Linked DNA regions of Tamandua tetradactyla. The protein of the gene in region 1 interacts with the protein of each later gene in a pairwise test. Links are inferred from orthologs where the notes say so. Each region holds a gene or a part of one and is shown in the gene's direction. Other genes may lie near its edges.

Region 1 (7,736 bases):
TCAGTCCTCTTGGCAACCCTGGGGGTAGGGAACTAAAGTTCAGAGGGGGTTAGTATCCTGCCCAAGATCACACAGCTGTGAGCTGCCATTTAGTACAAAATCACATTTGCCCAAGTTTCACGGGTCATCCGTCCCGTCCTTTTCCCAGAAGCCCCAGTTCAGCTGCTCAAAAGAAATGGAGTGATGCCAAAAGGGAAGGGGGGGCCTTGTCTGGAACCTGTTGCATGGGTAGTTAGTGCCAACCTAGGCCCCAAAGGCTGCCTCCCCAGAAGCTGGGCAAGAGGCTGCGTGGACAGCCATGAGCCACCTGCCCTGACCCTTCTTGCTGCCTGGCAAGCCCAGTGCCAGGCCAGCCAAGGAAGCCTGGCTCGGGGGACCTCGCCTTCCCCCCAAACAGGGCTCCAGCCAGCGGCTTGCCCCTCCCAGAGCTGTGGGCTTCCTAATGGCTGTGTTTAACCCCCGGACCCTCCAATAACGCTGCTTCCAGCACTTTCTCTTCTTTCTGCACTGCGGCATGTGGTCTCAGCCTCGGGGGAGTAGGGTAACCTATTAGCTGTGAGATTAATCATTACCTGCTTCCCCTCCTCACACTGGACTCACTCTGAGTCATTAAAGCTTGGGGCTGCCCACTGGGCAGGGGCAGAAGTTTCCTCTGGACATCTGGGGAGCAGAGGAGGCTCATTTCCCTGGGGTGGGGGTGGGGGGAGGAAGGGCAGATAGAAATGTGAAGTAGCTTCTATCAGTCTTGTCGCTAAGTAGAAAGCCCACCCCCAGCCCCCAGGTTGAAGGACCTCTCACTGATGGTGGGAGGAAAGGAAGTAGTTCTGGGTGGAAGGTTGGGGTGGGCCCAGGAGCTGGTGTCCCTGGGGTCCTTTGCCCCAGGAGATGGTGGAAGGGGCCCCCTTCTGGTGACTGTTGAACGTGCAAGGGCCCTCTGGTGCTCTGGAGCCAGCTGGCATAGAACCAGCACCCAACTGCATTCATTATCTTCTTCCCAGGCAGGAAGGCCACAGGGCTGGGGGCTGTACCTGCAGAAAGCTCAAGGAAGCTGAGTGAAAGGCTTGTGCCCAGGGGCAGCCCTAGGAAGGGTGGCTGGATGAGGGCTGGAGGGGAGGAGATGCGGGGCAGGGCTGGGACTACAGTGGGGGGAGCCAGGTGGGCAGAGCATGAACTTCAAAGGGGCGTGCCCTGCCTGGGAGCATTCATACAGCCCTGCAAGTGAGTGCTTCCTTAAAGCTTACTCCTTAGGCACCTTGCTAGCCTCTCCCATCCTGCTGTGGACTCCTGAACAGGGACAGGGTCAGTGCTGGCTGCCCACCCATTGAACTTGCTGCCTCCTGGATGAAGCAGGCCAGGGAGGGAGGGCAGAGGCACTGCAGGGAGCTGGAACCGGCAGCTGCATCCTGCTCGGCACAAGCTCCATGTTGTGACAGTGCTGGTCCAGGAGAGAGCGGGACCAGCCCATCCATTGCCGAGGGAGGTTCGTGGCCCCAGAGCCCGAGGGGCACCACCCTTGGCAGGCCAGGAGGGGCAGAAAACTGGAAGCGAGACTCCTGGCTCCCATCCCCACCTGTCTGTGTGACCACAGCCAGTCTTTTCAGTTCTAATCAAACATGGGGCCTCAATTTTTTTCTGTCTCTAAATTGGGAAGAACCACATCTTCTCTGCCTCCTTCTCTGGAGTAGAGGTGAAGGGAGAAGCTGGGAAGCCTCATCAAAGCTCGTCTCCTGCCTCCTGCCACCGTGGTGGGCCTGTCCGTGGGTCACAAACCAAGGAAAATGGAAAGTGCCCTCAATATGGGATCTAAAACAGCTGGCAGAATGAGGCAAGTAGACAACAGGGGTCTCCCAAATACTTCCAAACTCTAGCCCAGGATTCCTGATCATCCATCAAGGCCAAGTCCAAACCCCACCTTCCCATGAGCAGCCACCACGCCAGGTCAGGGGCTACTCACTCCCTATTCTGACATCTTGCTGCACTTAAAAGCACTTAGCGCTGCGCCTCACACAGAAAAAGAAGTTATCCTTGTAACAATTTTTTATGGAGCTCAGAATTGGATCAACCATAATCTTTTCTTTTTTCGGGGTGGTGGGCAGGGGTGCATGGGCCAGGAATCAAGCCTGGGTCATGGCAGTCAATCATTCTACCAGTGACCCATCCATGCACCCTATAACCATAACCTTTGATTTGCAATCCAGTGCCATTGTTGACCCATATTCGGCCTTCTTTAATTCTTTAATAATTTATTTTCAATAACGTAATCAACACCCAATAGGTGACCCACCAATCTAAGTAACAGAACATCATAGATAACGTATGTTTATGGGTTCTCTTCCCATTCTCTCCCCCATCCTCCCACCTCAAGAGGAAACTGTTCTCTTAACTTTTGTGTTTATTATTGTTTTAAACGAAGCACCCAAGAGGTCAGGATGGCTGCAGATTCTTTTATAGATATAGCTGTTTTCCTGCCAAACTGATGGCAGTGCCTCAGTCCCCTCCTTTCCTGTAGTGTGACATGCGCGGGGCTTGGCACATAGGGTGGTTGGGGAATCTTGGTTGCCTGGCCATTCCAAGAGCAGGAAGTCTGAGGACCAGGTGCCAGACAGTAGCAAGGATGCAGCTCTGAGAGTCAGGAAATGGGCCTCTGATCCCAGCCCCCTCCACTGGACAGGGATGGGTGTGGCTTCGTCCTGCCTGTGACATCACACAGTGTTGCCCAGGTGACCCCGTGCAGTGGAAAAGCTCACTACTTTTCTGGGTTCCGGGCAGAGAGAGAGCCACTCCTGCCTTCACCTTGGGAGCACCAGGAGTCAATTGCCTGGCTTCCAATCCCCGCCCAGCCAGCTATGGCCCAGACCCCCCTCGGCATCTGTACCTATTAGCCCTCTTGCTGCTGAGAAAGACCTAGGCCCCACCCTACCCCACCTGTCCTTACCCCCCACCCCCAAAGCCAGTGTATGGCACCACTGGCGCACCACTGATGCTCTGTACTGTCCGTCACCCCCATAGGCCCCCGTGGTGCCTGGGCCAGCTGTCTGGACACGACTAATGCCTGGTCACCCATCAGTCCCAGGTACCAGTACCCAAGATTGTTAAACAAGGCCAAACACTCCTGGCCCCAAGAGGATGGGACGGAAAAAGAAAAAGGTGAGGCCTGGGGGCATGGGACACACCCCTGCGTGAACTCACCTCTCCTTCAAAGTCCCTTGTTTTTGTTTCCTCCTATATCATGACAAGACCTCCCTTCTCTGAACCGCTGGTTTTGCAGCTATGAAAGGTGGAGTGGGGTGAGGTGGTCTCTGTGGCTCTTGCAGTTTAGGTATCCTGTCCTCCTGGGCTGCATGGGATCTGAAATAGGGTGTGCTCACAGGTGATGTCAACTAACTACCCCTACCTGGTTGTTTCTGCCCCAGGCCGAGGTTCCCGTGACCCAGAGAAAAGTGCAGTTTGGCCTGAGTTATTGCACCCACACACAACCTGGAGAGGGGCTTGTACCCTCTTGTTGCTGAGGGCACATGGGCCCAGAGAGCCCACTGAGATGGCTCATCATCACTCTCCAAAATCTCCCAGGAGACCCCAGGCTCATTATTCTGCCATCTGCTTTAGACCCCTTTTTTTTTTTTTCATCTCACACCCACCAGAATGGCCATTATCAACAAAACAGAAAAAGACCCCATTTTGAGGGCTCTTTTCATCAAACTTGGCCCTTTCTCTGGCCTGCAGTGGAGCTTCTCCAGCGGGGTGGCTTTCAGACACAGGGCTCTTCTGGAGGGTGGAACTGAGCTTCTTTGCCTCTCTTGGTCTTCCAGATTGCTGGGAGGAGAAGGGTCGTGAGGGAAAAAGGATCTGGGGGATGGAGGAGTTTGTCTTCTTCCATCCCCACCAGAGCCAATTTTAGGCCCTGACCATGGGAGTTGAGTCTAATGGGCCATTAACTCCTCCGTTGCTGGTCCTGTCCTCCCCCAGCTCCCCCAGTGCTCCCAATCCAAAAATGCCTTCAATAATAGACAGTCCCAGTTACCCCCAGACATCTGCTGGCTAATCTGGTTTACTGAGGGCAAGGCAGCCAGCCTCGAGGGTTAAGGTGTTGGAAATAGCACCTTCTCAGCCAGCCCACGGGCCAGGTCCTGGTGGAGTGGTGGAGAGTGCTGTGCTTTGGACCCCAGCAGTCTTCAGGACTCATTTCTGGCTCTGCCATCCACTGGCTGTGTGGCTCTAGGCAGGTAAACCGGCCTAGAGAGGTGGACTACTACTTTCTCCACCCTAGTGGCGCTGGTGGGTTAACTGAGAATAAGTCTGAAAAGCAGATGTAGCATCCAGCTCTGCTCTTGCCCAGAGGAGGCATGCAGCAGCAGAGGTGAGTTCTCTCCCAGAGCTCATTATACCCCCACCGATGGATCTGTGGTACCTGAGACATGGGGGTTCTTCACCATCACCCACAGTTCACTCCCCAGAATGTGCACCCCCCACCCTCTGACACATTCCCCCAGTGCAGCCCTGCAGGGGGTGGGGGGTGGGGGAGGAACCATTGGTCCTGATGCAAGCATGTCTCTCTCTGAGGGAAACCTGCAGATTCCCTTTCAGATGTGGGAAGGAAAGAGGGACGGGCAGAAAAGTTCCGGCCCACAGCCCTGCCCCTAGTCTGGGCCTCACACTTGGCCCCAACCTCCCTGGCCTCGGGCCCAGCCTGCCCAGTGGGCACCTGCCTGCTGGCCTCACCGGGAGGCGCCAGCCTGGCAGCTGGCCTCATGCCCAGAAGTGAAGCATGAATATTCTCTCCAAACCCTCTGCAAGCTTTATTTCCCAGAAGACTGTCCCAGGGGGAGGCACAGAGGCGGTAAGAGGAAAGGACCCAATTCCTGGTCTGAGCTTGGCATTTTGAGATATAACCTTTCCCAAAGGTCAAAATACATGTTCTTGGGCCCTCACTTCAGTGAGTTTAGGGGGCGAATGACAGGCCCTGTGCTCTCTACAACAAGGAGTTGGGACTGCCGTCCCAGGCGGCTCCTGGGAATCTGGGGGTGGGTGGCGCATCAGTCACCTCTCCGGGCTTTACTGCAGGAACCTCTGATCAGCCAGGGACCCAGAAGACTGAATCAGAAACCATTCCAGATATTCCCCTTGGCCAGGCGGAAAAATGAGGCTCAGAGAGAAGAGGACAGGGGGGTGGAGGCACAGCAAGGCTAAAATCCACCTCCCTGTCCCCTCCCAAGCTAGTCAGGGGCCCACACCTGCTGGGGGGGTGGAGTTGGCTGTGGCGGGGGGGGGGGGGGGGGGGGGGGGGGGGGGGGGGGGCATAGTGAGTACGGACCTTGGAAAGGAAGCAGTCTGACCCTCGAGGGAAGGGAGGGAGCAGTGCCCGGGCTGTCCCACAGCCCCTCCATCTCCCCTCCACCAACTGGAGCTCCCTATAAGCACTGGCCTCTCCCACCCCCACCCTTGCCTGGTAGGAAAATAGAGGAGAGGGGGAGGGGCAGCTCTCATTAACACCTCTGCAAATGGTGACAGTCCTGTTGGGGTCTGGAGGGAGGGGGAGGGGCACCCTGCTCAGTCAGAGGAAGGGAAGCCCCCCCAACCCCTGCTGCTTGCCATTAGGCGAGGGCCACTGCCTCCACCAGGAGGTCCTGATAGAGAGCAGAAACCTTCAGGAAGTGAAGGAGCAAGCTTCCAAGATGGACATTTGGGGGAAAAGCTTACTGGGGCAGAGGGAACAGAAGGGCAAAAGCTCAGAGGCGGGAGAGAGTTTGCTGTGTTCTGAGAAATGGCCAGGAGGTCAGGGGGCCTGGAGCACAGTGAGCCCGGGAGGACCAAGAGGAGGTCAGTTCCAGAGGGCCGAACAAAGGCTCCAAGTGAAAGGGGGGCCACTGCAGGACTCTGAGCACAGGAGGACCACCCTGGCTGCTGAGGGGTTGGAGTGGGGTGGTGGGTGGAGGCACGGCAAGAAAGGAGACAGGGAACACAATCCAGAGGCGAGTGTCTTGTACGGGGCGGTTGAAGTGGCGATGGTGACAAGCGGTCAGACTCTAGATTCAGTTTGAAGGTAGAGCCGACAAGATATGCTGCTGGCCGGGTGTGCGGGCAGAGAGGGGGAGAGACGGATAGGTGAAGGACACTGAGGGTCGGGGCTTAAACAACTTGAAGAATGGAGTTGCCCTTGAGTTGGGACAGACTGTGGGAAGAGAAGCTTGAAGAGACAGTAAAGGAGTTATGGAGTTGGGCTTTGGCTTGTTAATGTGGAGATGTCCACCAACCCTCCAAGGGAGGCTGTCAAGGGGCCATCTTGAGTAGGCTGGGGCTTCCATACCATCATCCTGAAAACTGAATGAAGTAGCTAATCCACAAAAGGCCACAGGGCCAATCAGAAGCTCAAGCTCTCCAGCCTTCCCTTCGGCTCCTCTCTGGGCCACGTTCCTTCCTCCATGTAACAAGACATGGTCCTCCATGATTTCCACGGACCTTTCCCCCCTCCACCAGAGGCTGCCCTGGAATGCAGGGTCTGACAAGCTGAGCTTTCCCGATGAAAGGATCAGCCTCCCAGGGGCTCCCTCGGCTCCACCTGGAACCTGAGGCAGTCCACTGCCCCTCTCCTTGGCCCCCTCACATCAGCTGGTGCCTATTAATCAGCAGGAGGGGAGAGGAGACCTGGCCTTCTGCCAGGTGAGGCCTAGCAAGGGTGAAGATGGGTCAGCTGTGTCACCCTCAGATGCTGAGTGGAGAGAGTCAGCCAACCAGTGCAGGGGGAGAGCCAGGAGACCCTACCCACAGCAGGCCCACCTCCACACCCCATAGTCAACCCCATAAACATTCCTCTGGCTCCCACCTCCCCAGGTCACCCACTTTCCCTGACTCCCCACTGCTGCCAAGGCTTAACTGAACATGCTCCGGACCTCAGAAGCCACCCTCCCTGCCTTTCTTAGGTGCTACCCTGGCTCACCCTGTTCTACTTTCTGGCTTGTCCTTCTGGCTCCACTCATGCTGAGTCTCCCAACCCTTCCTCTTGCCAGAAGCCTTCCCTGACTGCTCTAACTGTGATTGCCTTCGTCTCCTGTCAGCAGCTCTCATCATGATGGTCCTTTGGCCCATGAATCCACAGCTCTTGAGCTGTTGAGCCCCTGCCACTGGGTCTGCTAGAGATGGCCAGCCCAGGAGGCCCTGTGTGTGGACGAAGGCCTCTTCTCCTTCCTGGCCCACAGGGTTCTCTGGGTGGAAGACAGATGTGGCATCTGGGATGGGCACATTCATTAATCTCCATTAATGTGTTCAGTGATGCCATGGATGTGTATACGTTTTGTAAACTGTAAAGTGCAGTGTGCAGGAGGGACATGAAGTGACAGTGCTTTGAGGTGAGGTGACAGGATGCCAGTTGCTAGGACCTCAAAAGTAGATGGGCTTTAGGAATTATAGGCAAGGCAACCTGCCAAAGCAAAGGCTTAGAGGTGGTAATGGACTTGAAATGTGAGGTGACCTGGAGCTGAGGATGGAGGTCTTGAGGAACGACAGGAAGTTAGGTTGTGGGGGCATTCCTGCCCTTTTCCAGCTCTCATTCTGACAGAGCTGTGGTGAACTGCAACAGGAGGGAGGCAAGGCAAGTTCTTGAGCCGAGGCGTCACAGGGGAGAATGGTATTTTAGACTGACAGAGCTTGCTACAGTCAGGGGCAGTTTGGAGGGGGAGACGCTGCAGAAAAAAGACAAACCAAGGATGGAAGAGGCAAGGGAGGGACTGAGAGAGATGTTG
Region 2 (7,825 bases), on another chromosome or scaffold:
TTCAAATCACAGCATCCTGCAAAGCACTAGAAGTGGCGATGACCGGATGCCCTGCGAAAGTACAGAGAGTACTTCGGCAGTTCAGCATCACATGTAACCTTTTAACCAGGAAGCAAAGGATAGGGGCTGCTGAGCTGAGGAAAGTAACTTCTGTGGTGCTTGGAACTGAGAGCTCAGAGCATTTCCCAGGCTTCCTCTGCAGGTCTTTATTGTTCGCATCGGATCTCAACAAAATAGGAAGAGAACAACTGCTCCTGACCACTTCTCACAGGCTCAGAAATATGTACAGAGAGAGATTTGGATTTGGAAGAGATAGCCGGGTCCGCGGGTCTTATGCCCGCCCCCCCCCACCCCCAGCCCTTGTGGGCCGGCCAGGTCTATCACTTCCAGGGCTGCTCGCGTGGGGGTCAGGGGAGAAGCATCCCCCCCCCCCCCACCACCAAGGGGCTCCTTTCATTCTCTTGCAGTGGCTCCCACTATGGGGCATGTTTTTCCTTCTTTTTCTCTCCGTCCTCTTCTTCTCCCTTTCCTGTGCCTTGCCCTGAGAGGAGACTTCACTGCGCTCCCTCCTGGGGCGGCGTGACGTCCTCTTTGGTTCCCTTTTGGGATCCGCGCAGAACGTAGCACTTTTGGGGGTGCGCTTTCAAATTTGGCCACTAGGGGGGGCGTGCGCAGTATCTGGGGTTCTGCAGCCTGGGGACGCCGGACCCCGGCGGCTTCCCGGCAAGCGGAGTCGGGGAGGTGGGCCGGGGTGGGAGTCGGGGGGGCGGTGCTCGGCCAGGAAGACTCGGCCGCGGACGCGCAGGGCAGGGGGCTAAGGAGGCGGAAGGCCTCATCCCGCGTACGGGATAGCGTGCGTGTGAGTGTGTGCACGCGTACACGTGCGAGTGTGCGGGCGTGTACGTGCTGTATCCAAGTCTCCCTCACCACCCATGGGTCACTCTCTGCGCCACTGTCCCCTCGTCTCTAAAAGCCAGGGCCCCCCGCGGGTTGGCCGGGCCCCCGCAGCTGCCCGTGGGGTCTCTTGCAGGTTGCGTGAATGAACCGCGGGGGGCGCGTTAGGACCGCAGCCTGCGGCAGAGGCGTGCCTGACTTGAGGCTCGGTGGCGACCCCGACTTGGAAGAGCTCCCCGGTGCCCCCGCAGTGGCTGGCCAAGTTTTCAGCGTGGAGGGCAGCATTTCCTGCTGAACCCGGGAGGCGCCGGGGTCGGGAACACTCGTGGGGCCTCCCTCCTCCCTATCCAGACATCCACACTACGGGCTTTCTAGGCAAGGTCGGGCCACCTTTGGGGGCTTGTCTCACGTGGCAAAGTTCTGTGCCCCAGGGCCCGAGCAGCCTGCACTGGGGCTGCGATTAGGGGGCATGGCTTGAGAACCAGGGGCCCGGGGCTGGGGCGGGCAGGGGCTAGGGGCCGTGGTCGCCTGTGTGCTGAGTGACCTGTGGGCAGGGCATGGGCAGAGCCGCCGAGGCCAGTGAGGAGCACTCTCAGGCTGCAGCCCGCTCCCCCCGCAGTCCTGAGAGACCCGACTTCTCCCCTCCCTGTTTTTTGGGACCCCGAGAGCAGCTGACTCTCCATCACACCGCCCCTAAGGAGGGGAGCCGGGGCCCAAACCGGGGTCTGTCTGGGCGCAGAGCACACCAGTACAGTTGGACGTTGGCCCTGCGCCCGCAGTACTGCAAGCATTGGGGGAGACCAGGCTGGGGCTCCCCTTTCTCCAATAGAAGGCACAGGAGGCTCCCAGCCAGGGCAGCGATCCCGGGCAAACGTGACAGCTGTCTCCCTCACACACACTGCCACCTTCATTCTGTGTCCTCAGGCAGTTGGGCAGCGCCTGACCTCCTGCCCTGAGTGTGATCAGGTCCAGGGAGTGTTTGTCCTTCTCTCCTGGGCTGGGGGGCTGGGGGTGGTGTCCCGGCGGGTGGCTGGGACAGGAAGGACTTGCTGTGGGGGCAGCACGATCCTGGGAGGGCCCTGGGGTCCCGGGTGAGGTGGGTAGGGGAGGCCCCCCTGTCTTGGGGGCATGGAGCGAATCCGAGGGGAGGGGGCAGTTTCTTATTTCAACGCAGAGTAAGTGGTCCCTGGAGGCCTCAAGGGACTCAGGAGAACTGTCCACGTTGTATCCCCGATGCCCAGGGAGGCAGTGCCCGTAGGAGGTGCCGTGCAGCCAGCACTCCAATGAGTACCATCACACACCCCACCACGCCCCCCTCCAAGACTGCCTGGGTGTCAGGAGCCCTGAGTGGGTGCTGCCTGCAGCCGCTGGCCAGAAACGAGGCCCGGATTGAGTTTCTCCAAAAGGATCCATGTCAGGGCCCTGCAGAGGCGCTCTGCCCCCGACCCCACTGGGGACAGTTTCCTGAGCATCTCACGGAGCCGTGTGTCTCCTTCCTCCCTGGAGGACCCAGGGGTGTGCTCAGGGGCCTTAGGCAGAGTGTTGACTGCCCTGACGTGTACATGGTGATAAAAAGTATCTTCCCTGCAGGTATCGAGAGGACTGGAAACAGTGACTGCAAAGCACCCAGCACGGTGCCCGGCACTTAGTAATGCTTTCTAAAAACCTGTCCTTACTGAAGGTTGGCCGAGTGGCTGGCGCAGAAGGCCCACATGGAAGATGTAGAGGAAAGAGAGCCATGGGGGGGTGGTGCAGGGCCCAGGGCCGGATGGGAGCAGCTGTGCCACTGGTCCCCATTCTCCCCTCTGCGTGTCCCCGAGGCTCTTCCTCCCTTCCTCCCTTTCAAGCAGCTGCCGTGGGTCCAGACTGCAGTCCTGTATGCAGGACCACAAGCCAGGCGCTTCCATTCAGGGTTAAAGGAGGAAACGTCTCCCCATGAAGCCTTTAAACTGCCTCTGGGACAGCAGACACAACGGGGTTTTGGAGATGTAGGTCTGCGGCTCTGTGGGGTGAATCAGTGGGGTGTCACGATGAATCACCAGAGGAGCTGGCACAGGGGACGACCCTGCCCTGCCAACCCCGCTCTGGGCCGGGGGTCACTGGGGTCATGCACTGGGTCCTGGGTGGGGACCCTGAGGGGTGGTGCTGGCTAAAGGCCCCTGGGGCCACAGCTGAAGGGAAGCACCGTGCAGGAGGCAGAAGAAAAGGAGGCATGGAGCCATTGAGTTCACATGTCAAGGTGCACAGCTCCTGGGCAGCAGAGCCATGATTCCAAATCCAGGTCGCCTGGCCCAGAGGCCACACACTGGGCCATCTAATCCTCTTGCAAAATCCTTGTGAGAAGGTTCTACTGTACCTGGTAGTCAGGTCAGAAGGCGTGCTTGAGCATAAGGGGACTTGGGCACGGAGAGTGGGGGCTTTAGCAGCAGTCTGCAGTCTCCTTTGGTTTCTTCTCCCTGGTTGTACAGCTGCCTCCATTTGCATTTAAGAATCCAGGGGGTGTGGTGGGGGGGCTGTGAGGACGCCCACAAGGGGCGGCAGGGCTCTAGCTTATTCCTTTAACAAACTGGTGCTCCCCAGGCCCTCGCCCTGTCACCGGCTGCGGACCCTCCCCCTAGCCCAAACCCTACCCAGACTGGGAGATGCTCAAGTGTTCCTGCTATGGCGGTGGGGGTGGGGGTGGCGTGGTGGGGGGGAGGGAGGTCGTCCTTGGAAACAGATCATTACTGGTCTCGCTGGGGAGTGGCCAGCTTTGCAGGGAAGTCCGGGAAGGGTGTCCAGGGAAGGTGACATTGAGGCTGGCTCTTGAGCTTGGAGTTTGGGGGGGGGGGGAGGCAGGAGTCCTCAGGCCGCTGGGATGTGTGCTGCACATACGCTGGGAAATCTGAGCGCAGCGTGGGGGAGCCTGTGTATCCGGGGGCGTCTCCCCGCGAGGGGACTGGGCAGCTCGTTCATCCGCACCCAGGCACAGCCGGTTCCACCGGCGAAGAGAATGACAATGGGGTGGCAAGTCGGGTGTGACAAAGACGCCCTGAAGGGCACGCGCTTTTATGTAATCGGCCTCGGAGCCACGAGTCCAGGAGGCGGGCGCTGGGAGCCCGAGCGCCGGGCGCGGGCTGCGCCCCCCGCGACGTTTTCTTGCAAATGCAGAGGCGGGCCAGGCGAAGTCAGACGAGGAAGGAAATCCAGGGCGCGTCCAAGGGCGGGCGGCTCCCCCCGTGACCCTCCTCCGCCGCCTGGGGCCAGCGCCAAGCTGGGGCCCCTCTCCTCCCTCCAGGCTCGGCCCTTGTCCCGGGGGGCTGTGTGCACACCCCGCTTTCCGGGCTCACTCTCCGGGTGACCTTGGATGAGCCACTGAGCCTCTCCGGGCCTCAGTTTCCCGGCCTGCGCCCTACCACGGCACCTCTGCGGCCTCTCCCCGAGGCCCGCGCGCCCCCAGACCCCGCCCGGCGCGGGCCCGGCCCCCCGCGCAGTCCCGGGCCCCGCGAGGCGGTGCTGGCGGCGGCGGGAGGGCGCGGCGCGCAGGCGCGGCGGGCGGGGCGCAGCGCGGGGCGGGGCGTGCAGGCGGCGCGAGCGGGGCGCGGGGCCCGAGCGCTCAGAGAGCGCGGGCGGCGCTGGGCGTGCGGGTCGCTGGCTGCCGGTGCGCGGCGCGGCTGGCGGGGCGCGCGGGGACTGCTGCAGGGTCGCGGCCCGCGCCGCCCGGCCCGGCCCCAGGCGCCGGCTCGGCTCGGCGGCGGCGGCGGGAGCACGGGGCAGCGTCCGGGAGGCAGCGGCCGCGGGCGCGGGCGCGGGGCAGTCAGCGGCCACCGGGGACCGGGGCCGCGCGGTCGGCGTCCGCACCTGTGCCGCCGCCGCCGCCGGGTCGTCCGCCCGGCTTGTCGCGCCGCGCCCGGGTCCGCGCCGCCGGGGGCGCGGGGCCGCCGCGGGCCGCCTCGAGTCGGCGTCCCGGGCCCCGGCGGCCGGCGAGCATGGAGGAGAAGTACCTGCCGGAGCTGATGGCGGAGAAGGACTCCCTGGACCCCTCCTTCACACACGCTCTGCGGCTGGTGAACCAGGGTGAGGGCGCCCCGGCGGTTAACTGTCGACCGGGCCGTTGGGGCCCCGGCGGGAGCGGCGGGCCGGGTGGAAGCGTGGGGGGCTGCGGGGTGCCACTGGCTGGAACGCGCTGGGCGCTGGGGAGAGACATCGCGGAGGCTGTGGGGAGGGGACAGATAGGAATCTGGGGGCATTTGGGTGGGGACCCGCGAGAATATGGGACTTCTGCTGGAAGACGGGGATGTGAATTTAGGGGGCTTAGGAAGAAAGGAGAAGACTGGGGGGCGGGGTGTCGGGTGAGACTTGAAGGGAATCTTTGGGGACTTGGGGATACCCCAGGGAAACTTCTGGACGGGAAACAGATGGGGAAGAATCTGGGGCTTTGTCGGGGAGGAGGTTGAATGATCTCATCGGAGAAGAGAGTGCGGGGGACAAGGGGAACTAGGGCATTTGGTTTGTTTTAAGGGACTGGAGAAAGAGCTGGAGGAACATGGAAGGATTTGAGGGAAACAAGTACAGACGAGGTGAAGTAGCAGGTGCTTGGATTGTTGGTGAAGTTTGGGGACCTTGGAGGAGGTTTGGGGTCAGACCCAAAGCATCTTTGAAGAAAAGGATCTAGTGGTCCCAGTGGAGGAGCCCTCTGTTCCTCCCATGTGCAGGAGGCACTACAGTCTGCCCTCCCTGGGGGTAGGCATCTCACCAGCCTGCAGCCTGGCCCTTGGAGGAGTCAGTAGAAGAAGCGGGCACAAGAGCCCCCTTCTCGACTGACTTGCTTCTCCTCTTCGGGAAGCGCTGGGTGGGTGACTCTCATTAGTGTCTGGGGTTCAGAATATTGGCAGAGGAGTCCTCTCTGCCTGTGTCGTCGTAGCACCTGTCCGTCCAGCTGAGCGTGAGAACCTCCGGGCAGTCGGGGTCGGGGCCGCCTGCCCTCAATGTCGCCTGGCCGGGCCCCTGGGCTTTGTGAGGAACCTGCTGGGATGCCCGGTAAATGAGTCCCTCGGGAGCAGCCCCGCCCCGCCTGCGCTTGGAACCCGCGTTTCAGCCGAAGATGGATTGGGGGGCGGCTGGTTGTCTTTCGGGGAGGACAGAAACGGTGTCTGGTCAGAGGCTAGCTGGTGACCGAAATCGCCCTGGGTGGCCAGCGCGTGGTCCCCGAGAGAAATCGGATCTGCCGTTCTCAGTGCTAGTCCTGGCTCTTCTCTCGTTGGAAGTGAAGGAGGACGTGGTTAACTCTTATTTGATACAGAGATTTTTACATTTGAAAACAGCAACTTCTAATATTTGCCTGATGCAACCGGTTCTTCAGAGGAGGGTGTGTGCTGTCGACTGGTGGAGAGAGGATCTTACTGTCTCCAAGAATTTGAGCATGCTGTCTGAATTGCTGAACAGGAATGGGTTTACAGAGCGTCCCCATTTTATTCTAATTGCAGGCTTATTTTTGTTTCTCTAATAAAATGGATTTGTGAAAAACTAATGGGCATGTATTCTTAAATGAGAGAAAAAAAATTAGGTTTTATTCCTGTACTGTTTGTTCTGAACAGTTCTCCAGTTAGGTTTGTATTCATTGTTCTTTATGATTTACGTATATCTCTTTTTTGCCTGCTGGGCTGTTATCTCTATGAAAGAAATTTCTTTGTACATTGTGTGAGATCAGTGGCATGAGAAATACTCTGAACTGGGCAATTGAGTACATTTTTCTTAATAAGGAAACAATCAAAGTTGTGGTGTACTCAGTTAAGGAAATAACCCAACTGAAAACAATAAGTTATTTCAAAAGTCAATTATTTTTGTGTATCATGTTGGTGTAGCGTTGTGTTGGTAATACATGGGAAATTCTTTTGGTTTCTGTTACTTCCAGTGTCAGTGGCTTGCAGTTACTTGAAACAGGTATTGGAGAAATGTTTTTGTTGTTGCTAAGCTGGATTACCTTTACTTTTCCATCAGAAATGTAATTCTTGTGAGAACGACAGTTCTCACGTTGAATGGGATGTGAAGGAAGGAAGAGGTGCTCCTCCTGTGTTCTTAGGAGGACTGTTAATTCAGATTACTTCAGACTAATGTTTTCCCTTCACATCATGGGCAGACATCCAGAGTGCAAAGCCCTGCAATTTAAAATATTAATTATACTCTGTTATGTAACTTCATGCTCACTAGTGAACTTTTAAATAAAGCACAGTGTCTTGAGTCTGAATTAGAATCGATAGTTAGGAAGCTTTATTTTAACATCTGAAGTTCATCTCAGTATTGGCGATGTGAAAAGATCTATTCTTCTTTAGCTAAATGTTTGGCTTTGTCTCTGAAAACCATGCTTTTCAGGGGTTGTTCTGAATCTCGACCCTGGAATTGATATTCCGGCTCTAAATTGTGCAGTGATAATGGGTCAGCATTGCAAACCTTTATTTTATTGCCAAGTGACATAAAGTAGATGTATTTTACGGTTTACATCTCCAGATGCTCTCAGCGCCTTATGTTTGCTTAGTATTTTAAAGTTGCCGGGGCACTTCCCCCTTCTCGCCGAGGCAGCCTGCAAGGCTGGAAGGGGGGGGGGGGCGCCGCTTCTTTGGGCGCACGGTGGGCGGCCGAGATCTGATTTGAACCCAGGTCTCTGGGTTGTGCAGCTCTCTACTTGTTCTTTCCACCTTGGCCCTCCACCAGAGAGGAAATGAAGTACTCCTCATACGCGCCTTCAGAGCCCTGCAGAAATCAATGTAGTGCACCCCATCGTACCTGAGGGCTCAGCATAGGGAGGACGACCTGCAGGAAGACTTCCCTTGATTTTTTTCTCCTGAGTTTCTTTCTGGACATGTTTTCCATGGTCTTTAAAGATTCAAACTATGGTGCATTCACTGTATAAGATTTTCGTGCTTAGGCCAAGTATCACTTTGGAATTAAAGAA
Region 3 (7,836 bases), on another chromosome or scaffold:
GGGGAACATGGGGCCTCAGGCCTGGCTCTTTCCCACCCATCCAAACTTGGGTATCTATAAATAGACACTGGGAGGAAGGAAGCAATATTCTTGAAAGAAATTTGTGTAAATAAATGGACCACACATTTTGTTTCTTCTTGCTTCCAGAACTTCAGTGTGTCCCCCACTGACTGTATATTGTCTTCAAGACATTTCTGAAATTTTGAAATATTTCATAATTCAATTGAAATAAGCCAGACACAAAAGGACAAATGGTGTACGATCCCACTTACTTTAAATAACTAGAATATGCAAATTCATAGAGGCAGAAGACAGAGTAAAGGGGACCAGGGGCAGGGGGCGGGAAATAGGGGGTTCTTGCTTCATAGGTGAAGAGTTTCTGTGGGGGTGACGGAAGAGATTTGGTAATGAATGGTAGTGATGGTAGCACATTGTAAAGGAATTTAACACCGCTGAACTGTACACTTGAAGGTGGTTAAAAAGGGAAATGTTATGCTGTATATATGGTGCCAAAATAAAAAGACTTTTAAAGTGGTATAATTGTATTACAGTAAGTGCTTTTTAAAGAGTTGAAGCAGTGAAGAGCACTGATTCATCTGCAATTTTTTTTTGGTTCCAAAACAATAAAATATGGCAAAACGTCAATATCTTACATTTGTTACAATATTATTACTAATTTCCCATGTGTTTAAGCATTTCATAATTTTTTAAAATTTGAAGTTACTGCAAGAGAGACAGAAGCAGAGAGGGAATAAGAACCTGCAAGCTACTTTCTCCTCCCCACCCCAGGGCCCACTAACACATCTTGAACAGAATGAAGTTTTCTAACTGTCCTGGGCCTCCTCACCCAGCAGAGGTGGAAGCACTGCACTGTATGTAGTTCTTAGTGGGAAAACTTATGCCTCAGCGTGGACACAGAGCCAGAACTTGGCTCCCTAATGTACCTGTTAGGGCTGCAGTAGCCAGCCCGGCCAGTTGGGGAAGTGGGCAGAGGAAGACAGGCATTCCACCCCCCCACCCCTACCCAGTCTACCTGCAGTCTGTTGCCGACCAAAGAAAGTGATTCACATAAATAACCAACCATCAAGCTTAGGAAATGCCATTACCCCTTTTCCACTATTTAAGATATGTTAATGTGCTGCTCCGCCTTCATGCTGACTCCCTGTATGGGCACATGCGCTCCTTCAGAAGTCCCTTTTTTCTGTAAGGGTCAAGAAAACTAACCAGATAAGACTGACTGCTGTATCTGCCTGCTTCTGAGCTGGGAAAAAAGTGCTGAATTGAGGCAAAACCCTGAAAATGGATTACAATTGCCAGTTCCACAGGTTACATTTCCCCCCAAAGCGTCTTAGGTTCACCTCTGGTCTTTTCCCTCCTCTGCCTAATAAACCACCTTGTCTCAAGGAAAATGCTACATTTGGACAGACAGGGCCTATACTGTGGCTGGACTGTTCAATTTGTTTTCTCACTTCCTACACTCTCTCCTCTTGGATGGGAAAGAGAAGCAGAGAAGGGGGTTGGGAGCCACCCTTAAAGACCTAGTTCTCCTCGGATCTAGAATGCAGCAGTTAAGAGCAGACCTTGAAACCAAACTGCCTCATTCGATGCCCAGAACTACCACCTACAAGCTGAAAGACCTAAGGCAAATGACTGGAACGACTCTACCTCAGTTTTCCTCCAGTGACTAGGAATGCTGATAATAATATCTACGCTTGGTTGGTGTAAGACTCAAATGAGATGAACTATTTACATAGTTCATTTACAGAGAAGGTGCAAAATATGTTAGCTATTGTCATGATTGCTATTTAACAGATACTGTGATTTTGAGCAAATGACTTCTCTGAGCCTTGGTGATTCCTCCCTACCTATTAGCACTGTTCTAGGGAAGGGGCTCAAAGCTTAATGAGTAAAGCGATTTTTCAAGTGCTTGAAAACTATAAGACACCATACTCTCCAAACCTCTGCACCATTTGTTATGGGTAAGTTGATTCCAGACTTGGCCAGTGCTTCAGAATCAGGAGCAGCTTATTTTTAATTTTTAAAAAATATATTTTTGAGAAATCTTCACATACATAGTCCATATATGGTGTACAATCAATGGCTTACGAGTTCATCACATAGTTGTGTATTCACCACCATGATCAGTTTTAGAACATCTGCATCACTCCAGAAAAAGAAATAAAAAGAAAAAACTCATACATACCAAACCCCTCCCTCTTATTGACCCCTTATCCCCCCTATTATTTATTTTGTATCCATATTTTTTTACTCATCTGTCCACACCCTGGATAAAAGGAGCAAGATTTTCACAATCACACATCACATTGTAAAACCTGTATCGTTATAAACTGTCTTCAAGAATCAAGGCTACCAGAACACAGTTCAACAGTTTCACGTATTTCCTCCAGCCACTTCATTCCACTATAAACTAAAAAGGGATATCTACACAATATGCAATAACCTCCAGGCTAACCTCTTGACTGTGTTCGAAAACTCTCAGTCACTTTAGTTTCATTTCTCTCTTCCTTTCTTTTGCTCAAGAAAGCCTTCTCAATCCCTTGATGCCGGGTCCTGGCAAAAGGAACTTATTTTTAAAAACTCAAAAAAAATAAATAAAATAAAACACATTGAAAAGTATTAAATTTAACATACTGATCTATTTACAAAAACAAAATGATATAAATGTAGACAGAAGGACCAATCTGTAAGAGAATATACCTTGGCATAATCTACGTTTGTGGTGAAGTCTTTTTTTTTTAATTCTTTTTAATTTTTTTTAAATACCAAAAAACACATAACAAATGCAAACATTCCTATTTTGATCATTTCGTTCTACATATATAATCACTAATTCACAAATTCATCACATAGTTGCATATTCATCATTATGATCACTTCTTGGAACTTTTGCATCTATTCAGAAAAAGAAATAAAACAAAAACAAAAAAATTTATACATATGTGGTGAGTTTTTACAGAATATTTTTATTGACAAATTTTCACACAGTCCAAACACAGTGTACAATGTAGGGCTCACCGTGTCATCACATACCTGTGCACACATTTGTGGTGAATTGTTCTTAAAGCAAAGGTCTTACAGGTCCATCTCTGGGCAGGGACTCTCCAGAACCAAAAACAGGTCCCTCTTCAGATCCCAGAGCTTAGGGGAGACACCTCTGAGCACACAGCCCACCAGGACCAGAAGTGAAGACAGGTCAGCAGCCTGCTCGATTCCCACAGCAACGGAGGTGGTCCAGGATGACTGGACGCGACCAGCCTGGACACGGTGGGAAGGCTCTGCCGCAGGGCCTGACCCCCCACCCCCGGAGGAGGAAGGCCCCGCCCCCACCCCCGGAGGCGGAAGGCCCCGCCTCCACCCCACCCCCACCCCCGGGGAGGAGGAAGGCCCCACCCCCACCCCGGGAGGAGGAAGGCCCCGCCCCCACCCCGGAGGAGGAGGAGGAAGGCCCCGCCCCCACCCCCACCCCCGGAGGAGGAAGGCCCCGCCCCCACCCCACCCCCACCCCCGGAGGAGGAAGGCCCCGCCCCCACCCCACCCCGGAGGAGGAAGGCCCCGCCCCCACCCCACCCCCACCCCCGGAGGAGGAAGGCCCCGCCCCCACCCCGGAGGAGGAGGAAGGCCCTCCTGGGCCTCGGGGGCACCTGTGCGACGCTCCGCTCTGAAAAGGCACACTAGTGAACACCTGGGACGGCTCCCTAGGGCCAGGCGGAAGTGGTGAACAGGCCAAGGACCCGGCCCTCCACCTCGGGAAGCCCTGAGACTACGGGGTCAGACTCAGGGTGGCCTCAGACCGCAGGGAGGGCCGACGCCCACACCCCGCGGGGAGCGCGGGGCCAAACCTCCCCGGGCGAGGCCTCGCAGTGCCGAACGCAGCGATGTTTCTGGACAGTTTAAACATCCACCTTTCCAGATAGAGACTTCTCTGGAAAATAAGGTGTGGGATTCTTAGGAATACCTGGTTTTTGGAAGACCTGTTTTCTGTAATTTTGCCTCAATTTACTACATTCTCTCCTTGCACGTCTGCGCCCCCCGACAGCTCCTACTTCTCCTCTTCCCTGGAAGCGGCCTCTTTTGACAAACCGCTTTCTTCATGAAGGGGCGCCCCATGCACTGACGACTCCGAGCACGGCTTGTGTTCGGACTCTGATACTCTCCTGTCTAACCTGCCACAAGCGCCTCGGTACCTTACGAGGAGGTAAACAAAACCCGGCAATGCTTACGAGCCCTGAAACAACAGACACCGAGGCCAAAGGCCGCCGTGCATCCGCTCAGGGACCCGGCGCTGGAGCCCCGCAAGGCCCTTCTGAGTCACGTCCTGAGGCTTTGGCGCCTCTCGGCCCGCGTGACGAGGAAGCGGCCAACGTGCGTCAACCTGACTACACGTTCCAAAAACCTCGGGCTAAAGGGTCTCTTTCCTCCATTTCCTTCTCATCCGAAAACGACCCACTACCTCCTCGCAAGCCCGCGGGAGCACTCGGTTGGCTTTTAGCCGAGATTCCGGGCCTTTGCTCACAAGGCTGAGGCGGGGTCACGGGGTCTCTTCCCGCCGCGCCCTTCCCCCCACGCTAGGCCCAGCTCCCCGCGCCCGCGCAACTCCCAGAAGGCGCCGCGACCAAGCAGCTCCCAAGAGGCCCCGCGGCTGAAGAGCAGGGGGGTTCGCGTCGCTGGCGGTGGGGGCTCTAGGCCAGGGCGGAGCCAAGGATCGTCGTCATGCCATTGGGCAAGAGCCCCGGGTCCTGCCGCTCGTTGCCGGCTTAGGCACCGCCTCAAGCCGTGCTGACCAATCCCGGGCCCGGCCTCCGCTGCGTCACAATAGCGCCCTCGCGGCCCCGCCTCCAGGTCCAACCATCTAGGCCCCGCCCCGGGATCCGCCCCGTCGTGGTCTTCGGCCTTCCGGCTCCTGGGAAGAAGTAGGACTGCGCCGCGTCTCACAGGAGAAGCAGGTGAGGCTCGAGAAGGGGCGCCGACCTGCCGTCACACGGGCACTCGGCAGCAGGGCAGGGGTGTGGCAGGGCGGGGCTGCTGCTCCCAGGGGCGTAAGTTGACGCTGCGCCGAGCAGGCCGAGCTGGACCGGGACGCCGAGCAGAGGAGGACTTTCCGGAAGCGCCGGCCGCGCTCGGCGGGCGGGAGTTGGGGACGCGCGCGCCGCCCGAAGGCCCCGCCCCTCAGAGGCCCCGCCCCGGGCGCGCTGCCAGGTGGGGGGGTTTCCATGGTGACGATAAACAAGCCTCAACTGCCTCGGCTACAACTGCCAAGTCCAGCACGTTCCAGCCTCCTCTCGGTGCGGACGTGAAGAGCGGGAGCGTGGAGACTCGGAGCCCGCGGTGAGGGGCGGCCGAGGGCCGCAAGCCCGGGGCCGAGCGGGGTCTGCGAGGAGTAGGGTGGGGCCTGCGGGGCTGGGGCCCAGTGGGAGGCGGAGCGTGAGGGCGAGGGCCGCCAGCTGGGGGCCGGCGGGGCCTGGGGACCGGGGGTGGGGCCTGCGGAGCCGGGCGGGGGAAGAGGCGGGCCTGCAGGCCGCGCTCAGGTCGGGCGGGGCGCGCACCCGGAAGGAAGCGCGCCGGCCTCAGCCCTTCTCAGCGTCGCGCCAGCCGGCTCCTTCGGTCGTGGGCTCGGGCTCCTGGCGTAGCTGAGTGCCTGGGCCTGGTGTGCAGAGAAGGGACCGCCGACCTCCCGCGCCCCAGGGCCCTCCCTCGCCCTGCTCCCTCGAGGTCTGCCTCCCCTGGCAGTTTAGCCCGAGCGTCCCCGTCGTGCGGTGTCCGCTGCTCCAGAGGTACCGTGTTTGAGGGACTGGGGACGGAAATCGTTTGTTCGTGTAATGCTGTGCCTCGTGACCCCATTGCTGCCGGGCGGTCTCCCGGGGCTCTGGTTACCTCTCCTTTCCGTTTCCTTGCTGGTGGTTCTGGGTCGGTTTTTACTCGTTCCTTCTCTAGAAAAGTTCCGGGCCCGGGGTCAGAACAGTGTGGGAGGGACCGCCGGGTTCATAGCGGCCCGGAGGTGGCGACCCGGGAGTTATAATCCTGGGACAGTGCCGCCCAGGGAGTGACGGCTGGGGTCAGAGCGGCTTGGGGGTTACAGTCGCGGAGAGTGCGACCTCGGATGGCGGCCGGGGCGGCCCCACGCAGTCGCCCCCTCCCTCCTGAGGGGTTCTGGCCTAGATTTCCGCCCTCGGAGGGTCCGGGTGGGAATTGACGGATTCTTCCTCCTTGAAGTCCGCGGCTTAAATTGGGGGCTCCGGAAGGGCCCGGGTCCCCGGCGCGCTGGGAGCCCGCGTGCGTCCGCGGTGGGGTGGGGGATGCGTGTCTCGTGGCCTCCCCGCGGGGGCGCCCAGGGCGGAGGGCTTCCTCGGAGCGTGCCTCGCGGCCGCCTGGCGCAGCAACGTGCTCGCCCGGCACCACGAGGGTGCAGGACGCGCTTCCGGCCGGGGTCGTCAGCCCGCCATGGCGGGAGGCAACCGCCGGGCGGCCACGTGTCCGGGCGGGCTGCGTACTGGAGGGTTGGGAGGCCGCGGGGCGTCGTAGCCAACTCGGTAAGACTACTTTTGGGACAGTTTTATAAAAGTAAACTGTATCTGAGTTCCTATTAGAAGTTTGCTTTCATTCTTAATTTCTGCATACCAAGATATTTTCATTTTAAAGTAAAATGAGTTTCTACTTTTTTTTTTTTTGGCCTTTAAGAAGGGGAATTTGTTAAGTTGCAAGTTTGCATGTTCTAAGGACATGAAAGCGTCCAAATTAAAGGAAGGCTATAGAAATATCCAATCTAAGGCATCCATGAATTTCTACTCTTAATATTGTGAGAGATTGTTGCATTACAGACGGGCGTGAAGGAAGTCTATCCTTCGCCTTTGAGGTCTTAATGGTCCCGTACGCATTTTGTAAACTGTTTAGCTTTATCATTTACATGTTATGCTTTCCTTTTTAGTTATGATTGGTTTGTTAATGACTTTATTTTTGGTTATTCTTTTAAACTGGTAAGCGGCTCTCCTTTTCACTTAATTATAGTGTTGCAAAGCTTTCTTTTAAAAATATGTAGGTAAAAATGCGAATTTTTATAAGGGTAGCAAATAATCATAGGATGTGGCAGCACCGTGGAGATCTGGGTTAGTGCCTGGAGGGGCTGTGGAAATGAGAGGGGTCGTTTAGTCATAAATATTTCAGTTTCTATTTTTAACGACTCGTAAAACAACCCATAATACCACTCCCACACCTTACTAATAACTACTTGATATCACATATGAGTGTTGAGATGTCCCTGATTGTACAATATAGCAAATAAACAACTAGTTGATAAGAGGTGGAATCCAGACAGGGCCACCTTGCCATTAAGATATGTTGTGAAACTTCTGTATTTTTGCTAATGTGATAAATCTATCTCGTTTTTAAAATTTTTCATTGATTTTTTATGAGGTTAAGTGTCTTTATGCAGTTCTCATAAACATGAAAAAATTTAGTTAAATCATTTTGTCTCCGTTAATCTGTTAAATGTGACAAATTGCAGCAATCGACTTAAGTATTTTTATTGAGAAATAAGCAGTTAATTTTTAGATAATCAGCTGCACTTGCATTCTTGGAATAAATCCTGGTTGATTATGATATATTATGGCTTTTTGTGTTGTAGGATTTGGTTTGCTAATGTTTAGGATTTTTGCATCTGGGTTCATGGTTGAAATTAGCCTTAAAATTGAATAAACAATTCTAACCAATTCCATTTGATTATAGATCTAAATGTAAAAACAAAACATTCGTTAAGAAAATGTTTGCATGGCTTCAGGCTAGGAAACGCTCTTAAATAGCATGTGAAAAGCATGCTGTTGA
Region 4 (7,216 bases), on another chromosome or scaffold:
CTGGTGGAGATGACCAGGTCCCGAAGACACAGCAGTTCTGGTGATGGCAACACCTTTTCCACAGGACTTGCCAGTCCTGTGCTCAGGCCACTGTCGCCTCTCGCCAGTGGCTGAATGGCCCGCACGCCCCGAGAGGGGCACGCTGACAGCTGGAGCAGTATCCACAGCAGTGCATGGGCTGTGGCGAGCAGTCAGGGCCTCCAGTAGCCCACTAGGCTGGGCTCTCTCCCTGGGGACCTGCAGATTCCTTGCCCTCAACGCCAGCCACACCTGGGAGGGGCAACACTGCTGGGAACAGCTGACCAGTCCAGCAGCATCCCTGACCTCTCCACTGTCTCCTCTCGAGAACCACTGACCTAAAAGATATAGTGACAGTGGCCCTCACACCTCCACTCACTGCACTAGCCCAACTCTGTACAAGAGAATTAAGAGGAACAGACCCTAGCTAGGTGCAGCATGTGCACAGAGCATGTGGTGCAGCTGCTGGCAGGGGCATCCGCTTTATTCCAACCCAAAGAACATCAGGAGTGGCAAACCCTGGCAGACAGGCCCTGGCCAGCCATGAATGCCCAGAGATCGGGACACCTGCAGACCCCTCAGCGCCCACGCCAACCCTACACCTCGCACACCCTGCCTGCTGACCACCATGCTACAAGATGCAGGAGTTTAACAAGCCAAGGCCCACACGCCAAAGGAAATGGCAGCTGGTGGCATCTTCTACCTTCCAATCCAGAAAGAAACTCAACACCTGACGGGCCTCCCAGGATCTGGTGGCCTCAAGGAAAGGCCTACACAAGGTCACTTCTCTAGCCAACATACAGGAAACCACAAAAGACCACCAGAAGCAAAGCAAGCCCTGCTGGGGATGCATAGGCCACCTTGCTGTGCAAGACCTGGGAGCCGGCAGACCCCATAATTCTAGGGCATCTGTGGTGGCAACAGATGCTTGCAGTTTTTGGCAAACCTGTAAGAAAACCACCATACAGGTCGCTGAGACTCCAGAGCTGGGCTGTGCCAGCCCAAGCAGACAACTTCCTGCCTTTAAGGAAGATGGCTAGTGTGCCAGGGTGCTGGAGGGTCACCACCTCAGGTAGCTACACAGCCCTTGGAGCAAGGCTACTGGCTATGGTAACTGACCCTGACTGGCGGCAGCAGGCAGGGCTGCTGTGCCCCATGGGAGTGGTTGGTATATGGGGGTTCCACTTGGTTCTCTGAGACTGTAAGCAGAGGAGGGGGGCTTGGTAACCAGGAGCAGGACCCCATCAGCTGCCCAGGTCCAGCTATGAGACCAGGTGAGCAAGCGAGGCCAGCGGGAGGTGGGGGAGGGGCAAAGCCGCATGGAGCACAGTGACCTTTGGCAGTTTCTGAGCTGTCCCGTTGCTGCCCAGCTGTGGGAAATGTGTGGCGGACAGCCTAGTCGTTGGCTCCTCTGGGCTCTGCTTAGGCTGCGAAGAGCAACCTTGCTCAGGTCCCCCCTTCCCGGGCCTGGTCCAGGTGGTGATGTAAGGCCTGGCCGGCCTGGCCTGACCTGGGTCAACCATGAGGAGCAATTCTCAACCCCAAGCTCCTGCTGAGCAATCTCCCTGGCCCTTCTGGGATGTTCATCCAGTATACACACCCTACACCCTGCTTCCACCTAAGTGAGAACCCGCGTGGTATGGGGAAATAAGCCCCATGTGCCTCTGGTGCTCAGACAAGGTAGGCCCTTGGCTGGCGTCTGCCTCTGTCCAATGCATGGGGCCACAGTGCAGCGGTGCCCTCTGCCCAGGCGGTAGCTGCTGCCCTGCTCTCCTGGCAGGAGGGGGCACCTCTAAAGGAGCCCAGGCAAAGGTGACTGTGTGCCAGGCACTGGGGGTCAAACCAGAAATCAGTGCCTGGGCCTTAGCTCCCCACACGAGCACTAGGCATATCTGCCCCAACCCCACCAACCTGAGGGGAAGGGACCACTGAGGGAAGAGGCTGCATCTGTCCTGCTCACTGCTGGACCCCAGGCAAATCTGAAGAAAGATTCTACACCCCTTGTGGATTCAGTCCTGCACTGTGGGACTTGAAATGCCCAAAACCCATGCCAAAGGAAGAGGCAGTGCCTGTATGGGGAAGACCCCCGGGGAACAGGCCCTGGTGACCTAGGCTGGGGACACAGGAGAGGGAGCTGGAGCCCACTGGAGGACACCCAGAGCCCAGGCCCTGCAGTTCAGCACCCGACAGGCTTTGCAACCCTCATGGGGCCCTAGGCATCTGCTGTCTGCTTCCTGTGGTGATTGGCCACAAGATCTCTAAACCGAAAGAAACCCAGGCCTTCCTCAATTTTGGGGGGAAAAAAGAAAGAAGGCTGGGTCCTGGGCCTTCCTGAGGGAAGGAAAGGAACGATGGATACTGTCTTCAGAGAAAAGGCGTGCGGGGCAGTCAGGAGTGCCCCTGAGTCCCTGAAGAAAGCCTTACCTTGTCCCATAGAGACTGCAGTTCTTCCTGTCCCCCCAGGTCCCAGAACATGAGACGAGCTTTTCCCACGTCCACAGTGCCGACTGGGAGAGGAGAAAGAATGAAGCTCGTGATCTTGACGCTGGAAGCCCCACATCCTGGCTCCCCTGCTGACAGAGCAAATCCCCACGGGCTACCTGACGGGGGCCCAGCCCGGCTATGGTCATCCTGGCGCCCCCAGCAACTCAAACCCATACCCTAAGGGCTTACTGTTCAGGCCCACAGTGGTTGTGATCTTGGATAAACTCATTCCTTTGTAGTTCTTGTTAAACCGCGTTTTTGACTGCTCCAGAAAGGTCTGAGGAGGGAGGACAGATCTGCGTTAGATGAAGGACCTGAGCAGTTTGCCAAGCCCGTTTCCCAACTATCTCTTCTCGAAACTTTCCTCAAAAAAACAAGCCAGCACCTCCACTCTTAGATTAGGGGTGACCTTCCTGTGAGCGTTAACAGGGTTTGGATTCCATTTGGATGGTGAATGTAGAGCTGAAGGTAGAAACCCAAAGGAAGAAACACTGGGGGAGACGGGAAAGAGAAACAAGCGTGTACCGTCTTTCCAGCATTGTCCAGGCCCAGGATCAGGATGCAGTACTCATCCTTCTGAAACATGTACTTGTACAGGCCCGAAAGCAGCGTATACATTCTGCCCCTGGGACACCCCAAGAGATAAGTCAGTAAGACATGGGGGTGGTTTGACCCGTTCCGTTCCTTACTCCCCCGGGTTTCCCCACCTTGGTAAATGGTACCCATTTGTCCTGCTGACAGCTCCAACCAGGATCTTAAGGGTGGCTCCTGATTCCCCACCCCAACTCCCTTTATTTCTAAGTCCCACTGGCTCTGCCTCCATAATCTCTCCCAGTTGTCTGGCTTCTCTCCATCTCCACCACCACCAGCTTTTCCTGGACCACCCCCTACTTCTTCACTCCTGCCTCCCACTCCCATTCCACTCACAGCAGTGACTGTGAACTCGGTTCCAGGCCCCCCTGCATCCTCACCCCACCCCCTTCCCCTTGCTCACTGAGCCCCGCCTCCCCTTAAGGCTCCACTTGTGCTCAGCTCTTCGTGCACAGGGAACAGGGACACACTTGCCCAAACTGGATATCCAAGTCTGGACAGCCAGATCGTTCTTAAAATTGAGCATGTGTGAGAAGGAGGGATTCACTAAGCAGCAGGAGCCACCGAAGGCTTTGAGGTGGGGCTCCCCATTCTCTAAGCTCCAGGGGTGGCTTTGCAGCGACAAGAGAGGCTGCGATCTCAGCCCACCCGAGGTGGACCTAGAGGTGGCGGTGGGCAGAGGGGATGGGCCCGGCCGGGGGCAGACTTCTGCGGAGGAGATCCCCCCAGGCCCACAGTCCGTCTCCCGGTAGTCCCGCACTTTGGACACCGAGTTTCCAAACTCTTGGGCAAACAGCCTAACAGACGCTCCCACGAGCGACACCCTCGCCTTGGGCGGGCGCCCCCTCCCGCGACCTCACCCCCCACGTCCGCGCCGCGCCGCTCGGGGCAGAGGGCGGCCGCGGCCCCTCAGGAGGGCTCCAGGCGGCGGCGATACAGTCCCTGGCCCACCTGCCTCCGCCCCGGGCCTTGGACCCGCTGCGGCTGCCGCCGGGACCTACGCGCGCTGACCCCGAGCCTAACCCCGCGCGGCGCCTGCTGGGACGAGGCCCGGCCGCCAGAGGAAGGGCGGAGCCGCGTAGAGCCCCGGCGGCCCCCGCGCGCCGCACCCGGCAACCCCCGCGCCGGGCACTTCCGGCGGCCTCGGCGCTCGGGAGGAAGTGCTGTTCGGCTGCGGGGGCGGAAGCAGGGCTGCCGGCTGTAGCCGGTGAGGCCGGCGGGGCTCTTTATGGCGGCGGCTGGATAACAGCGGGGAGAACGGACCTAGAAGAGAAGGTGGGGGCTTTTCCCGGGTGGAGCGGCCGGGGCCTGGGCCCGGGTCCGGTCCCGGTCCCGGTTCCGAGGTCGAGCGGCGGTGGGTGGTAGGAGCCTGAGGGGTCTGGGCAGAGAATGGAGTCGGGCCCGAAAAGAGCCCAAGGGATGGGGGGGCGACTCTGAGGAGGACTGGGCGGAGGGAGTCGGAGGACTGGGTCGGGTCGGGGGCGTAGGCAGGGGCGGGCCCGAGGGGAAAAGGCTTTTAGATTCTCCGGTCACCCCGCTTGGGAGAGCCCTGAGCACAGGGCTGAGAGTAGATGCAAAACACCACGCGGAGAAACCGGATCAAGCGTGACAGCAAAAGGTCGGTAGGCCTTTAGAGGGAAAGGCAGACCTGGACTGGGGAGGACAGCGGCTACGGAGCCCGGCCCCAGGTCTTCACCGGCCAGCTATGCCTTGGGCGGGTTCCTTAAGCTTTCTGAGCCTGTGTTCTCATCTTTGAAAAGGGAGGACGCACCGTACACCTTTTGGCAGGCTGTTGTATTTTATGGCATCGGTGTAAAGCTTTCAGCACAGAACATGGTTAACAGCCCATGTCCAGTACACCGCAGCCTTCAGGGTTTGCTTTAGAATGAGGGCCTCAGACTCCTGAGGCTCAGCTGCCTTCGATTTCTTGCAACTCTGGCTTCTGCAGCTTCCTCTCGAGGACTCAGGGACCCGCACCTGCCCTAAACCCAAAACCAACCAGCCTTCTATAGGATGGATGAGGAGAGCCTGGAGGCGGCTCTTCAGACCTATCGTGCCCAGCTGCAGCAGGTGGAGCTGGCCCTGGGAGCTGACCTGGATTCATCTGAGCAGGCAGACTTGCGCCAGCTGCAAGGGGACCTGAAAGAGCTGATTGAACTAACTGAGGCCAGTCTGGTGTCTGTCAGGAAGAGCAAGCTGTTGGCCACACTGGATCAAGTGCACCCATCCCAGGAAGATGCTGAATACATGGCTTTCCAGAAGGCTGTTGCTGAGGTAGTAGAGGTGCCAGCAGCCCCAGAGGCAGAATTGGAGACTGTTCCTAAAAGAGAGGCAGGGCCAGAACCCAAAAGACTTGGGCAAGAGGAGGAAGAGGGGAAGGACAGTGACAACGAGGAAGAGTTAAGTGGGACAAAAGTGAACGCCCCCTACTACAGTCCGTGGGGCACCTTGGAGTATCACAACGCCATGATTGTGGGCACAGAGGAGACAGAGGACGGCTCCACAGCTGTCCGGGTACTCTATCTCTACCCCACGCACAAGGCCCTGAAGCCCTGCCCGTTTTTCCTGGAGGGGAAGTGCCGATTCAAGGAGAACTGCAGGTAAAGCTCTTGGTGCTTGGGGTCCCATGGCTATAGGATATGAGGGGCATGCAGGGAAGGTCAGGGTTGTAATCAGTCCTGGCCAGGTTACTGGCAAGAAGAGAGCTTTTTCTTTTCCTTTTTTTTTTTTTTTGACAGGGGGAGTCATTTGCCCAGAGTCACTCAATTGGGAAGGGGTGGAGGTGGGCCTGGACCTATGTGGTGAGTCTGCATCTGGCTGTGCCACCCATTGCTGTCTAGGCAACTGATGATAATCTAATCTTTTTAAAATCACATGCTCCTTTGACCTTTGTGCCCAAAGGACTTTTTCTTTAAATTCCAGTGGTTTTTCTGGGCTACATCTTGCTGTGGATCATTCTGAATCCATATTCTTAGAAGCATAGTGCCCTTTCAATATGTAAGGTTTTGTTTGTTCAGAGAAGTTGAGGATTTACAGAAGAGTCATGCACCAAATTCAAGGTTCCTGTATACCACCCTATTAAAAAATAGAAACGGCTTCACAAATTTGCATGTCATCTGTGCGCAGGTGCCTTCCTAATCTTCTCGTCATTCCAATCCTTAGTGTGTGTACTGCCAGAGGGAGCACAATCTGCAGTTTCAGATCTTTTTTATCTCAGGAAAGTTTTTTCTAATTAGTTTTTAGTATGTGTTTAGGTATCTCTGTTTATTGTTCTTTACTTGTCTTTTAATATTTGTGACTTCTTTATCAATCTTTTTATTTGCTTTTTTAGTTTTTTCTCTTTTTAAATTTTGTTTTTTCTCACCAGTCTTTTTTATCTCCATTTCTTTTTGATAAAATTTTAAGAAATTCCTCTTTTTTTAAGAAAATTCCTTTTTTTCCCTTAAGTCATTGTTTGTCATATTTATTTGCTCTTGTGCATGTTCTAATTCAGTTTTTATTTCTAAAGTGGAGTTTTTCTTCCTAATTCTTTTAAAAATTCTGTCATTTCATTTCTAAATTTTCCTAATTGTGATTTATGCTAGTCTTTAAAGTTTTGTATCGTATTCTTGATGTCCTTTCATTGTTTTTTTTTAATTTTTAATTTTTGGGTGCATGGTCTGGGAATCGAACTCTGGTCTCCCGCATGGAGGTGAGCATTCTACCATTCTGTGGGGTTTTTTGTTTTTTGTTTTTTGAGTAGTCCTCTTTAGTGAACATTCATTGTTTTTCTCTTCTCTTTTTTCTTGTAGCTTTATGTGGAATAAACATCAGTACTTTTCTGTTGCTCACTTTTATGAGAAATTAATTTTCCTGAACCTTTAGAAGAAAGTTTATTTAAGTAGCTTTTCTAGAGTCACAAAGCGCTCTCTTCTGTTATTTCTGTTTCCTAGAGTTTTGTTTTTTTTTTTATCGTTTCTTAATACATTTGCATCGGTTTAGAGGAACTAGAAACACAACAGAAAAAGATATAAAATGTTAATTAGAGAAAAGAAATAAAAGTAGTAATAATAGTAAAAAACAAACAAAAAAAACCCTATAGCTCAGATGCAGCTTCATTCAGTGTTTTAACATGATTACTTTA

The links.
Region 2: the proteins of CCDC33 (region 1) and KHDRBS3 interact in a two-hybrid assay, tested with the Homo sapiens proteins (2 studies listed by BioGRID and IntAct). The link is inferred for Tamandua tetradactyla from reciprocal best matches to the Homo sapiens genes CCDC33 and KHDRBS3.
Region 3: the proteins of CCDC33 (region 1) and HNRNPF interact in a two-hybrid assay, tested with the Homo sapiens proteins (3 studies listed by BioGRID). The two-hybrid records come from large-scale screens. The link is inferred for Tamandua tetradactyla from reciprocal best matches to the Homo sapiens genes CCDC33 and HNRNPF.
Region 4: the proteins of CCDC33 (region 1) and ZGPAT interact in a two-hybrid assay, tested with the Homo sapiens proteins (2 studies listed by BioGRID). The two-hybrid records come from large-scale screens. The link is inferred for Tamandua tetradactyla from reciprocal best matches to the Homo sapiens genes CCDC33 and ZGPAT.

What each region holds. Positions count from the first base shown.
Region 1 is NC_135338.1:67,862,161-67,869,896, reverse strand, and holds the start of CCDC33 (coiled-coil domain-containing protein 33), read left to right. Parts: upstream 1-4,722; 5' UTR 4,723-4,765; coding exon 4,766-4,837; intron 4,838-7,736.
Region 2 is NC_135332.1:179,346,060-179,353,884, forward strand, and holds the start of KHDRBS3 (KH domain-containing, RNA-binding, signal transduction-associated protein 3), read left to right. Parts: upstream 1-4,812; 5' UTR 4,813-4,862; coding exon 4,863-4,950; intron 4,951-7,825. UniProt on the Homo sapiens protein: RNA-binding protein that plays a role in the regulation of alternative splicing and influences mRNA splice site selection and exon inclusion. Binds preferentially to the 5'-[AU]UAAA-3' motif in vitro.
Region 3 is NC_135339.1:2,957,330-2,965,165, reverse strand, and holds the start of HNRNPF (heterogeneous nuclear ribonucleoprotein F), read left to right. Parts: upstream 1-4,831; 5' UTR 4,832-4,964; intron 4,965-5,213; exon of another isoform or gene 5,214-5,346; intron 5,347-5,576; exon of another isoform or gene 5,577-5,792; intron 5,793-7,836.
Region 4 is NC_135327.1:61,162,922-61,170,137, forward strand, and holds the start of ZGPAT (zinc finger CCCH-type with G patch domain-containing protein), read left to right. Parts: upstream 1-4,208; 5' UTR 4,209-4,368; intron 4,369-5,041; 5' UTR 5,042-5,106; coding exon 5,107-5,693; intron 5,694-6,174; exon of another isoform or gene 6,175-6,279; intron 6,280-7,216. Other genes in the region: ARFRP1 (ADP-ribosylation factor-related protein 1), read right to left, coding at 2,443-2,525, 2,692-2,779, 3,028-3,120. UniProt on the Homo sapiens protein: Transcription repressor that specifically binds the 5'-GGAG[GA]A[GA]A-3' consensus sequence. Represses transcription by recruiting the chromatin multiprotein complex NuRD to target promoters.